Linked DNA regions of Arabidopsis thaliana. The protein of the gene in region 1 interacts with the protein of each later gene in a biochemical or structural test. Each region holds a gene or a part of one and is shown in the gene's direction. Other genes may lie near its edges.

Region 1 (5,018 bases):
AGATGTTATTATAGATTAAGGTTTCTTAAAGAGAAAAGTTATATATGTTCAACCTCTACTCTTCAAAATAACAGATTCAGCTGAAGACATTTGTTTCTAGTCAATTTGTTTTTGGAATTTTTCTTAATTCAAAGAAAATTGTGCAAAAGCTTTCATGTGCGGCTCAGATTAATTAGTCATTTACTACTAATAAAACTTTCACTTTGGGGTCTAGTAGATAATTCTCCACCCCCATTGAATCTTTTTAGTGGAGGTCTAAACATACATAAGATTCTATAGATTGACATTTGGGAAACCATCCTCATACAAAAAAGACCTAAACGGAATCTATGAAGAATTATTAACAGAAAAGAAAAACAGATGGCAATGAGAAAAGATCGGGTTCAAGGAAAACACAGCCGTACAAAACTCAAGAACAAAAACACCAAAAATAAACAAAAAAACTTCCAAAAATAGATATAGAATCACATGGTTTTGTTGTTTTGTCTATTTGTTCTCTATAAAAGGAGATATTTGGTTGGATCTATCATAGCGTCTCCTCTCAACCAAAGCTTACAATTTGTTCTCCCTTAAAAACTAAATTTTACAAATAAACTCTCAAATCCAAGAGAGGAGAAGACCGAAGTAAAAACACAAGAAAAAAAAGGATTAAGGCATAATGGCCAAATTCTTCATTGTCTTCCTTGCCTCTGCCCTATGTTTCACCACCCTCGTTCACTTCACCGCAGCTGATGCCGACGACTTTGACAAATTCCACATCAAGGGCTCCGTCTACTGCGACACATGCCGTGTCCAATTCATCACCCGTATCAGCAAATTTCTCGAGGGTAATTAACCACATTCTCTAATCAAATTCATTTGTTGAGCATACTGTCAATAGCAAAATATATTGGTTGATAAAAAATCGATCCCATTATGGTATATAGGTCAATGGTTAGAATTGTGTAGTAAAAATTCACAAAAATGATTACAAGCATATATAGACGTCTTTTTAACAATGTTAAAATTTTATAAAAATGTGGTTAGTCACATTTCTAAGAGTTAGTGTTGCAAGATTATAAGAAAAACTAATTACGTTATTGTGTGTATATCAGGGGCAAAGGTAAAGCTTGAGTGCAAGGGTCGTGAGAACCAGACAGTGACCCTAACCAAAGAAGCCGTGACCGACAACGCCGGTAACTACCAGATGGAAGTAATGGGTGACCACGAAGAGGAAGTGTGCGAGATCGTCCTCCTCCAATCACCTGACCCAGAGTGTGGAGACGTGAACAACCAAGAATTCCTAAGAAACGCAGCCAGAATCAGTCTCACGGCCAATGATGGCATTGTCTCCAACGAGACTCGAACCATTAACCCACTTGGGTTCATGAGGAAGACTCCTCTCGCTGAATGCCCTCAAGTTTTCAAGGAGCTTGGAATCGTCCCTGACGTCACCTTCTAAGCTTAATATACATATATACACACCCATATACATCGATCTCTCAAAGTCTCAACACTTTCAATTTTTTTGATGACTCTTTTTAATATATAAAACATTTATTTATGTTTTTTATGTGTCTGTCTGAGTTTACTAATTAACCATGTTTTTTTTTCGTTGTTATTGTTTTATTTTTGGGAGTTCTTTTTTACGAATGATTTGATTACCTTCCAATATTTATTTGTTACTTTTCGATTGAACAGATACATGCATGATGTAGTGAAAAACCCTACTCTAAAATAAATTTAAATCATTTACATGCATAGTGAAATTTATGACAGTTTGAGAAAGCTACATATGTAACATATAATGTGAATTATAGTTTGAGGTAAATGACTCAAACTGAAATAAGCAAAAGACAACAAATAAAATCGAACCCTTACCTAAAGAAGGCGGATCAGAGTTTTGTATATATTGGGCCTTTAGTCTGAGCCACTAGGCCTGAATCACAAAACGCGTTTTCACGACAAGCGTTTGCACCAGGATCTTTTGCAGCGTCTGGCGTTGGTTTTCAAACTCTGAATCCGAAACGCTAGATTTTAAGACGCCGAATTTGTTAAGCGTTCTCTATTTCCTGATTTCAGCATCTAAAGACAAATATACCCTTCAAAAAATTGTAAAACTACGAGAAGACTGTCCATTTATCTTTTCTTTCAAGCCAAAAAAAACTCTCGAATCTTCTTCTTCTTATTTCTTCTATACCGTCGTCGAAAAGCTTTACCAAAATCTCACGCCCCCGACGATTCATCGGTAAGTCTTGTTCTTGCGAAATTTCATTAATTCTTCTTCTGGGTTTGCTTATCAGATCTGCTTAATTCTGGGTTTTGGTATGCGTATTGTTTTCGATGTTTTAAAAAACCACATCTGGTTCCTTGTCTCGATAGTTCTAGGGTTTAGCTTTCTTCGATTTAGTTGATCTCAGTGAAGATGGGCCCGAGGATGTTCTAATTCTGATTGAAAGAAGCTGAATACAAAATTAAATAGATCTTAAAAGTATTTGAGTCGAAGAATTCGAACTGAATAAGTTAGTAATTACTGAACTATGTCTCTGTGATTCATCTTATTACTTAAAAATTAGGTTATAGTTTCATAGGCTTTGTAATTCAGTTCCTGTATTACTTATTGTAGCCTCGTTGTATCTTTGTCTTTGATAGATCTCTAGGCTTGTCTTGATCATTAGGTACAGAAGAGTTGATAAATTACAGTGATAAATTACCATCGTGGCTTGTCTTTATCTGATTATCTTGGTAATGTATCGAAGATGGATTTGTTTTTGTAGTGATGTGAAACCTAAAGAGTATCAATAAGCTTGAAAGGAGAAATATTTGAACATTGCATTAACAGGTCTATGGCTTTATTGTTGCAGGGATTTGAGTTTGCACTAAACCCACAATGGTTTCCTATCGTGCTACCACAGAGACGATTTCCCTGGCTTTAGAAGCCAACAGCTCGGAGGCTATTACGATACTGTACCAGGTTTTGGAAGACCCTTCTTCATCTCCTGAGGCTATACGGATCAAGGAGCAAGCGATTACAAACCTTTGTGATCGATTGACTGAAGAGAAGAGAGGTGAGGATCTCCGGAAACTGTTGACCAAGTTGAGGCCTTTCTTTTCCTTAATCCCCAAGGCGAAAACTGCGAAAATCGTCAGAGGAATCATTGATGCTGTGGCAAAGATTCCTGGAACAACTGATCTCCAGATCACTCTCTGCAAAGAGATGGTCGAATGGACCCGCGCTGAGAAGCGTACTTTCCTCAGGCAGCGAGTAGAGGCTAGGCTTGCAGCTCTTTTGATGGAGAACAAGGAGTATGTTGAAGCTTTGGCGTTGTTGAGTACTTTGGTAAAAGAGGTTAGGAGATTAGATGATAAGCTCCTTCTGGTCGACATAGACTTGCTGGAGAGCAAACTTCACTTCTCATTGAGAAACTTACCCAAGGCAAAAGCTGCACTCACTGCAGCTAGGACAGCTGCTAACGCTATATATGTCCCACCAGCTCAACAAGGCACGATAGATCTGCAGAGTGGGATTCTTCATGCTGAAGAGAAAGACTACAAAACCGGATACAGTTACTTCTTTGAAGCCTTTGAGTCCTTCAACGCTCTCGGAGATCCGAGAGCGGTTTTCAGTTTGAAGTACATGTTACTGTGCAAGATCATGGTTAGCCAAGCTGATGATGTTGCAGGAATAATCTCCTCAAAGGCTGGACTACAGTACGTTGGCCCTGACCTGGATGCCATGAAAGCAGTCGCTGATGCTCACTCGAAGAGGTCCTTGAAGTTGTTTGAGAACGCACTCCGTGACTACAAAGCACAGCTTGAAGATGACCCAATTGTCCACAGGCATCTCTCTTCTCTCTATGACACGCTTCTGGAGCAAAATCTGTGTCGTTTGATCGAGCCCTTCTCAAGAGTTGAGATAGCTCACATTGCTGAGCTCATTGGATTGCCGCTCGACCATGTGGAAAAGAAGCTATCTCAGATGATACTCGACAAGAAATTTGCAGGTACCTTGGATCAAGGAGCTGGATGCCTCATCATCTTCGAAGACCCAAAGGCAGATGCTATCTACTCGGCTACCCTCGAAACCATTGCAAACATGGGGAAGGTCGTCGACAGCCTTTATGTCCGGTCTGCCAAAATCATGTCCTGAGAGAGTGAGTGAGTTGGTCGTATGAATCTCATTCTATCGTTCTTTCTTTCTGGTTTTAGATATCGTTTGGACTCAAAGAAACTGATGTTTCTCAATGGAGAAAGTAAACTTGTCTGAATTGTTCACATTACTCGTTTTGCTTATGATCTTATTATGTCATGGTTTCTTACCTTTTATTAGTGCTTAAAATGTAGTTTGTTTTCATCTGGTTGTTGCAGTTTCTTTTTCTTAGCCTCGCAAGTCAACATTGTGTTCTCTTTTTCCAAAACCTTTAATCTTTACCTCATCCAAATCTCATTGATTTTTCTATCTCCGCATTTATAAATTCTGACCAACCCAGAACTCAATTCACAGGACCCACCATTTCTTTTCTCAACTCAGGACATGACTTGCACACAAGCAAGTCTTGATTTTGTTCTCTTCTTCTGTCATATTCTTTTATGTGCTGCTTCATCACAGTAGCTTTTCTAGTTAGCTTCGTGATTATTGATGAAGTAAACAAATTCTGTTAAAACGTTTATTTTAAATGTTAACACTAAAATGTGACATACTACAGTCATCCACAAAAATGTTGATAAGGCATATATTTTCACAAATCATAATATTTCGTTAAGATTTAAGACATTTTTTTGGCTGTTTGAAAAGGTTATTTATCATTAGTGGTTTACTGGTCTTTTATTGGAAGGACAAACATTTAGAGTGTTCCAATATTTGTTCAATTTCTTCTTCATAAACAGTAAAAACCTTATTCTAGTTATGTAGGTATCCCATTATTGTGTGATTGTCAGTTTATAGCTGAAAAGTGAAAACTTAAATGTCCAATTGAATGAGGTTTCTTCTTGGTTGAAAGATTAACTAGACTAATGTCCATAATCTTTAACTAACTTTA
Region 2 (4,628 bases), on another chromosome or scaffold:
TGTATACACAGTTGACCAAACAACATTAATGTATACACGTACGTATAGATGTATATATATACTGTATTATGTCAACATACAGTACGTATATGTATTTATATATATTCTTAAATTTTATTAATTGGCTGTAATATATGACCGCTGCTCAAAGAATGGGAAAGAGCTATTTGTACATAAACCCAAATAAATATATATCCTCAAGATTGAAGTCAATTATCTATCTATTTGGATAAATTATTATTTTGTGGTTGAATGAATTGCTGATTAGTAGCATATATAGTTGCAACTTGGTCATGATTCTGGTCGTGCTCAAGAGTTGCCTAACTTATTTCTATTTTTCAATAATATCTTAATTTAACAAAAAGATGGAAATATTTCACTTCAGTTCTGTGATTCTGTTATACTTTCATATATTTTCCAAATTTCCAAATCATAAGAATACTATCGAGTTTCTATAATCAGGTCAAATAAGCTTGAAACAAATAATAACATAGGTTGAAATAGTTACAATGTAAACAGCAAATGGCTTAAAGTCTTAAACCAACAATTAAAGACTCATGAAGAACCACCAAAGCCAAACTATGACAAGAGAAATATCAGTTCATTTGAAATCTTAAAAGGTATAGAAGTGTTGATTAAGGATAACGGACTATCGATGATATCCTCTTCGTATATTTTTTTTAAAAAAACAGCAGAAAATCTTTATCATATATACACTTTTCATTCCGTTACTTAAACGTTAGTAAATAACCAATATCATAACTCATAAGTTCATTAATCATAGGGTATATAAAGCTGTAAATCATATTATGTTGACTTTTTCGTAATATATGCAATTTTTAATAACTAAAATGTTTGAAATCGAAAGATGTCTTTGGAAAACACAAAGTGGTATATATATATAGATATAGATTTGGTTAAAAATGTATGTAATTCTTTAAAAATGACAATGTTTAGAGTTTACTGGATTGTAGAACCTATGGATTTTGTTTAATGGCAAAAACAAAAATGGAAGTAAAGATGTCCATCGACAGATCAAAAACTCATATATATTGTCAAGATGAAATGATATAACGTTCTATAAAAACATTAAGTGAATCCCTGATAATCGGAAGAACGATAAAACAACTTGAAGAGACTGAGTTATCAATGTCCCACAAGTGGTACCAAAATAGTTTATGCATACCAAAACTATTTAATTAATCGAATGTAATTGACCAAAATAGATATCAGACTCAAAAGAATACCAAAACTTCAGTGATAACCAAAAGCAGATAAAAAACGTATATAGTTTATGCATTTGCCAATAGATGAGAGGCATATCCATTGGCACTAAGATCAAAGCCAACATATATATAAAGATAAAAGGAAAAAAGAGAGGAAAAATAACTGAAAATATGAATATCCAAAATATTGTGGAAGCGCCTAGACAAAAGTAGAGCATAACAAGGGAGTATGGGTCCAAAAGTATCACAAAAGATTGCATCCTAAAACAATGTACAAAATCCAACAACGGACCGTTAATGGCACTTTAGGTTTTGTCGGTACCAAAAACAGTAATCTTCTTTTTGTTGACAAAATTAAAAACCTAAAAATCTTCATCTACCTTTCGGTTGATTAACAGTTATATTAACCATAGTTTTGAAAATTGAAACAAGCCAGCCAATTTAGGTTACAATTTTTTGTAAAATGAAATAAAAAGTCAATGGGGGATGGCAAAAAAAGAGGAGGAATAAGCAATTATGGCATGTGAGTAAAACGAAAAAGAGACACAAAACAGACAATCTATTTGTCTTCAACACCGCCACAACCAATCCCCAATGACTTGGTTACTTTTTACACTTTCTTCGCCGTTATCGCATCTCTTTTGACAAGTCAACACTCTTCATACGTCTCACTTTTTTTTTTAATATGAGAAACGCATTTATAGTTTAGTTTCTTTTGTTACACCACCCAAAAAAAAAGTCAAATCTATATATAACGTTCCTCGTTCGTTCTAATAAAAAACTATACAATAATAAATAAATAGCGACAGCTATCCAAAAAGAGTTTTAACAATACTTGTATTTTCCGTGTTTTGACTTTTGTAATTATTCTGAATATTTCCACTATCCCTTTATATTTAAAGACCCAAACTCTTCATCTATCTTCTTGCTAACTTATTCAAACCAATTCACATATCTCCTAAATCTCAACGACTGCACTTTGAAGCTTTTTGTTTAGATTCGTTCGTCGTTTCCATTGATTAAGTCTACTTCTTTTTTTTCATATTTTCGAGCGGGTCAAATGGATCAAGAGATAGAGATTCCTTCCTTCTTCCTTTGTCCAATCTCTCTAGATATCATGAAAGATCCGGTGATAGTTTCCACCGGAATAACCTACGACCGAGAAAGCATCGAGAAGTGGCTCTTTTCCGGTAAGAAAAACTCATGTCCAGTCACCAAACAAGTCATAACCGAAACTGATCTTACCCCAAACCACACTCTTCGCCGTTTGATTCAATCTTGGTGTACCCTCAACGCATCATATGGTATAGAGAGGATCCCAACTCCAAAACCTCCGATCTGTAAATCGGAGATCGAAAAGCTTATCAAAGAGTCGTCATCTTCGCATCTAAACCAAGTCAAATGCCTCAAACGACTTCGTCAAATAGTATCTGAGAATACAACCAACAAACGGTGCTTAGAAGCCGCAGAAGTTCCGGAGTTTTTGGCAAATATCGTAAGCAACTCTGTAGATACGTATAACTCTCCTTCTTCTTCACTTTCTTCTTCGAATCTCAACGACATGTGTCAGTCAAACATGTTGGAGAATCGATTTGATTCTTCAAGAAGCTTGATGGACGAAGCCCTAAGCGTACTCTACCATCTTGACACATCGGAGACAGCCCTCAAGAGTCTTTTAAACAACAAGAAAGGAACAAATCTTGTGAAAACGTTGACGAAGATTATGCAACGTGGGATCTACGAGTCAAGAGCCTATGCGGCTTTGCTTCTCAAGAAGCTCCTGGAAGTTGCGGATCCAATGCAGATCATATTGTTGGAACGAGAACTTTTCGGTGAGGTGATTCAAATCTTGCACGACCAGATCTCTCACAAGGCGACAAGATCAGCAATGCAAATCTTGGTGATCACATGTCCATGGGGAAGGAATAGACACAAGGCAGTGGAAGGTGGAACAATCTCGATGATAATCGAGCTTTTAATGGACGATACTTTCTCATCAGAGAGAAGGAATTCAGAGATGGCGATGGTGGTTCTTGATATGTTATGTCAGTGCGCAGAAGGAAGAGCTGAGTTCTTGAATCACGGTGCCGCTATTGCGGTTGTGTCTAAGAAGATATTGAGGGTCTCACAAATAACTAGTGAAAGGGCAGTTAGGGTTTTGCTTTCGGTTGGGAGGTTCTGCGCGACACCCTCTTTGTTGCAGGAGATGTTGCAATTGGGAGTTGTAGCAAAGCTGTGTCTGGTACTTCAAGTTAGCTGTGGTAACAAGACTAAAGAAAAGGCTAAAGAATTGCTTAAGCTTCACGCTAGGGTTTGGAGGGAATCACCTTGTGTCCCAAGAAATTTGTATGATTCGTATCCTGCTTGAACAACGTACATGTTTGAATAATTCTCATCAGATACAAACAATTCTTTGAGAATTATTCTTCGTATAAGTTCATTTTAAAACAAAAAAGAGTGGTTTAAATTTTGCTCAAACTCTGATTTTCTTTCATTTGTTTTTGTTTTATTATCTTTCAATGTTTATCATTATGTGTAGATAATAGTGGACATATTTTCATGAAATTATGAAAAAACTGCAAAGAAATAAATGGATTCACAGGTTACATGGCTATTTTATCCCACTTGCTTTGTTCGTAATTGTTAGAGGCTCCTTATTTATATTCTTTTTGTCCATTACTCACAATAATAATGGAGAACATCTCTTTCAACTTCTCGTTTTTATTGAGTGGATAACCTAAAGGTTACATCATAGTTCTGCTAAAACCATTACTTTTTACAAATACTTTTAGAGATTTGTATGCGTCATGTGTAACGTTTCTGACCATTTAATTGATGCCAGAATTGTAACATTGCGAATGTAATTATGTATATATATATATATTATGTCGGTACGTTCTACAACTCTAATCCCACTATTGATTTATATATTCCAGTATACATCGACGATATCCACGACGGGCATTCTTTCATTCGAGGATGAGTTTCTGTTTTAAGAAATTCTTAATTAAGATTTGTTTTCTTAATTATTATGTAAACATACCAAAAGTCCTTCATATATATGTGATTTTGTATTCACTTATTGTGATTTTTTAGATCACTCAGTTTAAAATGATTTAGACTAAACGTGGTAAAAACTGTTTACGAAAACTCTTTGCATGCGTTTTAACGATCAATAGACATTTCATTATCGGTAGATCGAAGGCAAAAGATAGATGAATATAGGAATCTAAAGCACGTTATAGCAATATTATATAGCAAGAATCTCTGTATTTATACACCTCGGTTCTAGCAATCAGGGAACATGGTCTTGGGGAGAACATGAGTACAGTGTCGTTTTACCTGAGAAAATTAATTATTACTTTCGGGCTATAAGTCCAATATAAATTCCTAAGGTTTTAC

Evidence for each region.
Region 2: the proteins of ATS9 (region 1) and PUB22 form a complex in vitro, tested with the Arabidopsis thaliana proteins (one study listed by BioGRID).

What each region holds. Positions count from the first base shown.
Region 1 is NC_003070.9:10,178,371-10,183,388, forward strand, and holds ATS9 (non-ATPase subunit 9), read left to right. Parts: upstream 1-1,931; 5' UTR 1,932-2,227; intron 2,228-2,228; exon of another isoform or gene 2,229-2,501; intron 2,502-2,843; 5' UTR 2,844-2,869; coding exon 2,870-4,129; 3' UTR 4,130-4,418; downstream 4,419-5,018. Other genes in the region: AT1G29140 (Pollen Ole e 1 allergen and extensin family protein), read left to right, coding at 659-827, 1,095-1,441. UniProt on the Arabidopsis thaliana protein: Component of the lid subcomplex of the 26S proteasome, a multiprotein complex involved in the ATP-dependent degradation of ubiquitinated proteins. In the complex, RPN6A is required for proteasome assembly.
Region 2 is NC_003074.8:19,439,909-19,444,536, reverse strand, and holds PUB22 (plant U-box 22), read left to right. Parts: upstream 1-2,109; 5' UTR 2,110-2,286; coding exon 2,287-3,594; 3' UTR 3,595-3,920; downstream 3,921-4,628. UniProt on the Arabidopsis thaliana protein: E3 ubiquitin-protein ligase that negatively regulates water stress response. May control in coordination with PUB23 a drought signaling pathway by ubiquitinating cytosolic RPN12a.